Drosophila melanogaster: one gene and its partner. The protein of the gene in region 2 interacts with the protein of the main gene of each other region in a pairwise test. Each region holds a gene or a part of one and is shown on either strand. Other genes may lie near its edges.

Region 1 (4,635 bases), on a different chromosome or scaffold from region 2:
TCTAAACTTTTTCACGACACTCACGACTGAGAAATCTGTGCAGTTTTATGCAACTTTTATGACACCAGCCGAGGACGAAAAAACTTTTTACGACTTGCAGTGCCAAAGAACAAACACCAGACCTTCTCGAGCTGCGCCTGATGCGTAAAGTCAACAAAAAGTAACGAACGAACTACTACGAACTACTACTACCCTAAGGAACCGAGTGAGGGATTTAACAAAAAAAAAGTCCATCCACCTCTGCACACTGAATGTGTGTGCAAAAAAAAAAGTGCTGGCAGGAGAAAAACCTGAAATAGACAATGCACAAAGTATGCACAGGATCCTGTTCGTGTCAGAATCAAAGATATCCAACTTAGAACAGGACGACATTCGCTGTACGGAGCAAATAAAAAAATTAGTAAGGATTTGACACGCTGGAGATGGTGAACAAATATTTCACATATCTCTGTTTCAGAGGAAAGTTAAACAACTGCTGGTAAGTACACTTTTCAGTCCAGTTGGAAGCCATATTAAATGAAAATTAAATTTTTAAATAATATATACATTATTTATATTTTTTCAAATTATAATTGCAAAATAGAAAATAAACTAATGCTAACTGCGCAAACGGAAGTTGCACGAAAGTTGTTTGAAAATTTCGCGCAATATTTTCACACAAATGCATACAATGTACGAAAAATATGGCATGTAATATTTTTTTTTTACATGACTGACTATTTTGAATACCATTCAGCGTATAAATTGCAACCTTAAACGTTTACAGAGAGAGGGGGATGTGCGGGGAAAAGTGACCCAGAGAGTTGGGCCTCTGGCCCCATTATCGATGCCACTCATCCTAATGACATGATGCAAATTAAGCCCCCAACTTCTGCCGCCAGCCAACATGACCCCCAATGCTCCAGCCAGCAGTCAAAAGCATTGCACAGTCACGTGCGGCAGCTGGCCAACAGCGGTGCCTGTCAGCCAGTGGAGCCTAATGTAGTAAGCCCCCAATACAGTTCACCTCCCTGTAACCCCTGTAACGCTCCCTCACTACCACAACCAACACCAACTCCTCCCACCACCCACTTTACCTCCCGGTGCACTGAAAAAATATTCATAGGGAGATAATGTGACAAATTATAAGCAAGATGATTATATTTTATGTTAAAGTAAAAGTATCAAAGTCTATGATTTAAATAAAGATAAAAATAAAAAACATCTTTTAAATATTTTCTTATAAAACTAACCATAAGTTTACTTATCATACCACCACCAAAAAATTCTAAACTTCTATCTAAGAATTTCATAGAAAGAGAATCTTTCGTCACCTTTTTTTTCTCTGTGTGCGAATGCAGTGCACGTGTTGCAGAAGTTTCGGTTAACGGTTATTAAATGCAGTTTTTGCAGTTTGACAACAAAATGCAGTCGCCAAAAGTGCAAAGTGCAGATGGTGGAGACCGGCACGGCCAGGCCAAGAAAGCCACAGAGAGTGAGAGAGATGGGGAGAGTATAGTTGGGAAAGAGCCCGAAGAGTCGATAGTGAGGATTGAGTTGGCCAAGAGCGCAACCGGTTCGAGACGCGTTTTAGACCAGTTTAGACCACTCTCACAGGTGCTGGAACATTGTCGCAACTCTCGAGCGATCAGTTTGAGCCGTGATCGCAACGCGTTCGCTTCGATTTTTCCCACCGGACCACGGTGCATTTTGCAATCTCCGCGATTGCCAAACAAACAAAACAAAGTTTTACTCCAACGAAAAAAAAAAAAAAAAATCTGAGATAAATAACGCGCAGCAAAAGCAACTATTTTTAGCGGATTACGTGAGTGTCATTTGAATTTTTTCGACGTGAAGTATACGCCCGATCTGTTGGCGAGAAAAATAAGAAAAAGAAAAGAACAAACAGAGTGCTGGCCAAATTTGCTCGCCATCTGTATGTGTCTGTGTCTAAGCCAAAGTGTGTGCGAGTGTGTTTGTGTGTGTATTTGTGTGTTGGCCAGCTCCAAAACCTGCTGCTATTATTAGCCTTAGCCAAGATTATGGGCGATTTCATTATGGCGCTGCAATTTGCTGTGCCGCCGCAAAAAGCGAAACAAAAATGTAAAACAGTGCCTGGGCCAAGAAGATTTGAGCCGAGTTAGACGAGTTCCGATGTCTTGGCCATTGTGTTTAGGCCGCCTCGCACCGACCGATTCGAGCCAACTTGCGAGAAGCTGCAACGCCTTTCATTCATTCATTCATGGCGGCGCTGGCGATTATATCATTCCGTGTATTAATGTGTTGGCTGCCATTTTGGTCAGAACTAGTAAAGGTTTTTGGCCCACACACACACACACACGCGCACAAGCACATTTGCAAAGCGTCAGCGGCGACGATGTCATCGCCTTCATATTTCCAATTTACATTAATATTTTTCTCCACACAACCAAATCACATTGGCAATGTTTGTTTTCTCGATTTTCGGTGCAGCAGCAGCCAAGTGAAGTGTAATGAAATGTGTACAGCGGCCAAAAACTAACAACCTGTCGCATTGGCTGGCAAAAAGCGTTAACAATAAATAAGCGAAACAATACCAACAGCACGGCCAGTTCAACTGTATAACAATGAGGAGAGAAGGTAAGCCAGTTTTTGTATTTTTATTTATTTTGTAGCCCACAACCATGCCGCGGAATACATTCCCATATCTCTATATATGTATATATGTATATGAAGGGAAGTTGTGTGGATGCATAGACGAGAATACAGAGAGAAAAATCCAAGGACACATGTCTCATATCTAAATTAGATCATCTGAACATAAGCTAAACTCACTTGAGAATATAAATTACAATCAAATTAAAACGAAGTGCTTAAACTTTTAAGTGTGTTCAATACTACTACAATATGTTTAATGATTTCGTTTTTAAATGACTTAGGATCAAGCTGATTTATAACTAAATATTAAAATTCATCTAGTATTTTCATCTTATTGTAGTATTTTTCGGGCACATCAATTTTTCCAGTGCATGCTCAACTCGCTTATTTGCCAACAATTTGCTTTTTGGCGCAGTGTAATTGCATTTCGAGCATCTTAAGACTGCCATCCACCTTCAGTTTCAATTTCCGCAAAACGTTGAACCGAACTCAGCTTTTGCCTTTGCGTGGGTGGGTGATTCCATTGATTACGCACCGGTTGACCCTGAAAGTATCAGCCAAATGTTGGCTGGTACACTGGCCTTATATGAGCACGATTTTCGGTCTTTTGTCGTTCAGTTTGTTCGCCTTTCGATGGCCGCAGGAGGAGTGCTTATGTCATTTGTCAACGGACCAAAAATGATACTCGCTACCGAAATCCGTTGGAAATTCGAGTGAAAAGGCCACTCTTTGGTCATTTGGCAGCAAGACTGCAATCTGGGGAATTGCCTTTAGGCGATAGTGAGACCAGTACAAATGCCAATACCAAATGGATCAATGAGTGAAATTTAATGTGCTTATATGCATTTCATTTATTGCTTTCACTTTTCGCCCGAATGTGACAATCGTGATGGCAAAAGGCATATCGAGGAAATGCTTTGACATAAGCCCTTATCCAACCAGTATTATCATTAAGCTAGGAAAAGCGTTTTCAATGGGCTTATCTATATGGTGTATCTGCAGCTCCCATAGTTACCATAGTTCAGATATGAGAGTAAAAACCCCCCATGTAACTAACCCACTGTGCATAACAGAACTTGCTTTTGGTTTTGGTTTTGCTTGTTCAGTTGGTTGGATTTTTCTTCGGCACTATTTCTTCGTGTCTTCGCCGTTGGCCATGTTTATGCTTAAAAGCCAGCCATGCTTAGCACGCTGGCCATCCAATAAAAGTTGCAGCTAGAAATTCAAAACCAACGCCAGCGGCCAAGTGTTTCTAGTTTTTCTCTTAGCCCCCTTGTTTTTTTTTTTCTTTTGGTTTGATGACAATGTTTTGATAATAATGATAATTTTCTGTGTCTCTTATTGTGCTGGGGTTTTTTTTTCGTTTTTATTTTTTATTTTTGGTTTGGGGTCAACATGAAGTTATGAGTTTCGTGATTGCGCCGAATTCGGTAACAATTAGAGTTTTGGCAAAGATAGCTTTTCAGCTATCAGCTAAAAACCGATGCTCATGGTCAGCAGCGTAATTCGCAAGATACAGGGAAAGTTACGTAATCCTGCTGCGGCTGTTGCGGTTCAGCGCAGACAGGTTTTAAACGGCCAATTTGCAGCTGCACACGGTGCGTATACGTGTTAAGCGAGAAACTAGCGATTCATTGACTCCAAGCCACAGTAAAATTTAACCGAAGAGGGTATATACCCAAATGTATATATGCAAAATACTCATCAGAAAACACAAATCAATCAAAGCTAATCACTTTCGGCACGTTGGTTATATAAAGTCAAGTTACTATACACAAATATGCAAAAAAAAATAAATCAACTCCCAGCTTTCGCAGTCTTACTCATTTTTCGATGTTTGCGTGTGAATCGGAAAGACAACTAAAAACTGAACCTAAAAACCAAACCAACTATTATGCAGGTACGAATTATCCAACCAACTGCAACTTTCATCTGACATTTGAGGCGACTGCATGCAATTGAAATCTGCAAACCAACAGATGACTTGGTGATGGTGATGTCATCATCACATATATGTAA
Region 2 (3,363 bases):
AAGGATATACATATACACACTAACATACATATATATTTTACTATGTAACGGATAGAATTAAGCTAGATGCAGCGCATAAAGCTTTATACAACAAATTGAAAAGCAACAGAAGAAATTGGCACAAATTAAATTTATATAGCATAATTAGACGTCCTTCGCAAGATAATGTTATTCGTAATAAGAGCGTCAATCGGTACATCGGGCGCTATTTCCCACTACACCCCCAACCACACAATAGATAACCTAAGCTATGTATGTACATTAGCTATGTATATCCAGCCCACTTATGCGCCTACTACTAGAAATGCAGAAAGCAGAAAGAGAGGTGAAACCTATAGACGCTATCACAAATGTCTATCTGATAGACATCGGTACTACCAATGCTATATTGCCAGTTGTGTAATTTACTCTTATTTGATCGTTTCATTTACCAGTTAAGAACCCAAATCATATAAGTGTTATGATGGAAGAACTATAACTTGCAATTCAATTAACTCTGCAATACGATAACAAGCAAAGCGAATCATTTCATTTCGATTTAATCTTTAATTATATATACTTAAACGATGTAAGCCCAAAACAAACGTTTTTTCTATATCTGTCTTTTGAGCAAATTAGTTATACGCAAAACCAAACCGTATTTACATAAATGTATACAAAACAAATCGTATATTTTCATTGGTTTGAAATAAATACATAAAACAATTTAACTTGTTTTACTTGATATTTTAGGTGTCTGGGAATTGAAAGCTGCATTAAAATGTTTTGTCTGTTCTGCTTTGTAAAGATTATTTGTTTTTTCTATTACAAGTGTCTTAACCAAAGACATTTGGTTAACTTCTGAGAATCATAATTACTTATAAGTTAAATTCCAATTGGCAGTCTTATATATCAAACGTAAACTGACAGGAACGACGTAATGTTGTGCCTGCAGACAGGACAGCGGTCTTCTAAAAGGAGCACGAGCTGCAGGGAGCACTCTTTGCAGAGGCAGAGGTGCCGGCATGGCATGACTACTACGTTCCTGCTTTGAGCCATGCACACGACACAGCGTTCTGGACTCGCGGATCCTGCGTTCTCTGACACATACCAAACATTGTGTATGAAGTGTTGCAATTTATGATGGGTCCATAGGTAAACGCTTTGCGTCTTCGTCGAGATTTCAATGCGTCCACGTTGCAGCAGGTAGATGAGCATCAGGTACACATAGCGGCGGAACATATAGAGAACGAGGAGCAGGGCCAATCCTATCGAGGCCCGGAACGCACTGTTCAGCAAGCTCAAGCCATGGGCCACGATTGAGTGCACCACAAAGTCTAGGAGGCAGTCCCAGAGGAATAGTATGGCCCTCGGCAGCAGCATCAGCAGCCACAAGATGCCATCACCCAGATCGATGAGTAAGTTGCAGATGAATCGGGATATGCAGTGACCAAAATCGAGTACATTCTTGAGCCCGCCTTTGGTGCCGCCGTAGAAGTAGTCCGCCACATCTAGCGTGATGAGGCCCAAGTCGCGGATGCCCTCGTTGATATTCCTGACCGCGCATCTCAACAGATTCCATCCTTTCCTGCTGCCCTCCACCAAACAGAAGCCGACGAGGTAGCTGCCCCACAGGAAGTAGTACACGCCAGTAATCACTGCATCAATCACGCTGGCCAGCGGACGCAGCAGGACCAGATCCACAAGCTCCGCTGCCCGAATTAGAGCGTCCAGCATGGCGGGGGGCTCATACTGTCCTCGAATTAAGAAAAGGAAGAAACACAAAATCAAAACAAGAACGCCGGCCGCTTAGTGTGACCAGGCGGTGGTTGGTAATTAAAGCCAAGCTATCGTTGCGATAAGGTAGCGTCAAATAATTACTTATCTTAAATATTTGTATAATTAATATATATATTTATTTTTAACACCCCACACATTATCGGTTGCACTTCCTAGATATATTTAAACTTAGATGGTATCTGAACTTTAAATACGCCAAATTCTAGGGTAACTTAAATTAATAATGTTCAAACAAATATTTTGCTTCTGTGAGCAAAGGAATTACTAAGGAGACATAACAATTTGGATTTATTAATTTTGACAACTATAAATATGCGTAATAATTAATATGGGTATTCATGTACTGATCTATTATGATATTGCATGCTTCTTTCAAAGACAATGAAAGCTCAAAAATATAATTATACATCCGTGCATTTTGCTGGTATTTCAGAATCCAACAAGGTTTCCCCAAACAACTCGCGAGGGGTTATATAAGAAAGGCGAGCTTAAATCATAGCCCTATCTGAGCAGGAATCCCCCTAATGCGAATAATCCTATTATAAATTTATTTCCGGTTCTGCTAGGAAGTTCATTTCGGTTCTTTGTCTGCAGGTCGATTGTGTATAATAAAAAGCATTAATTAACTATTCGTACATGCAGTTGCGCCCTAGTACGTAGGGCTTTTTCTGCACTCGCTGCAATACCATACTTTTTGTTTTTGGGGATGAAACAGTAAAAAAGTTACTGTTGTAGCAGTTTTCCACCATTGAGAGGACATTTGCCAAGTAATTACTGTTTGAGTTTTGCTTTGCTCACAAAGCTCTGCTGCTAAATGAACTAAAATCGATTAAATCTTTAAATTTTCGCCAGAGTTCGCATCAAGCCCAAGCTTAGAAAGGTCCAAGTCCAAGATGGAGGAATCCAATCACGGTTCGGCTGGCTGTGAAAACGTATCGCAGTTCATGCTCGATGACCTACAATTGGCAGCAGAGCTGGGAAAAACGCTCCTGGAACGCAATAAGGAGCTGGAAACCTTCATCAAGGAGTACAAGATTAAGGGGGATGAGCAGGAACTGGAGATCTTGCATCTGCGCAAGCACATTAATGCGATGACCGAGGTGAATGATTCACGGCTTAAGGTCTACGAGCAGCTGGAAGTGGGCATTCAGGATCTGGAGCGTGCCAATCAGCGGCTAAATCTGGAGAAGAATCGGGACAAGAAGCAGATTAAGACGCTGACCACCAACACGGAAGTCCTGGAAGCCCGCTGCGAGGAACTGAGTCAACTTCTGAGCGATGCTCGGCAATCCCTGAGCACCGAGCGGCGGAAGGTGGATCAGTACCAGCAGGAACGCTATAGGATGCAGCATTCGACCGAGGGTTCTGTGTCCAGTCACAGCATTCAATCGCTGTGCAAGGAGCAGAGTGTTGAGTTCTCCAAACTAGATGTTATGGCCATAGCGAACTCGACAGGATTGGAGGATATCTCCTTCAGTAATGCCACCATGTGCGAGAGGACCGCCGTTAAGGGTGAAGACAACGAGGAATTGGTAAAGCTGCTCAGCGAAATGGAGGTGTTAAAACGTGACTTCTTGGCCGAAC

The links. Proteins that work in one complex are often made in the same cells at the same time.
Region 1: the proteins of CG2617 (region 2) and CG14830 interact in a two-hybrid assay, tested with the Drosophila melanogaster proteins (one large-scale study listed by BioGRID).

What each region holds. Positions count from the first base shown.
Region 1 is NT_037436.4:7,260,912-7,265,546, reverse strand, and holds the start of CG14830 (uncharacterized protein), read left to right. Parts: upstream 1-1,626; 5' UTR 1,627-1,804; exon of another isoform or gene 1,805-1,915; intron 1,916-2,451; 5' UTR 2,452-2,598; intron 2,599-4,635.
Region 2 is NT_033779.5:20,680,802-20,684,164, reverse strand, and holds CG2617 (uncharacterized protein), read right to left. Parts: upstream 1,798-3,363; 5' UTR 1,717-1,797; coding exon 892-1,716; 3' UTR 536-891; downstream 1-535. Other genes in the region: Cen (centrocortin), read left to right, coding at 2,673-3,363.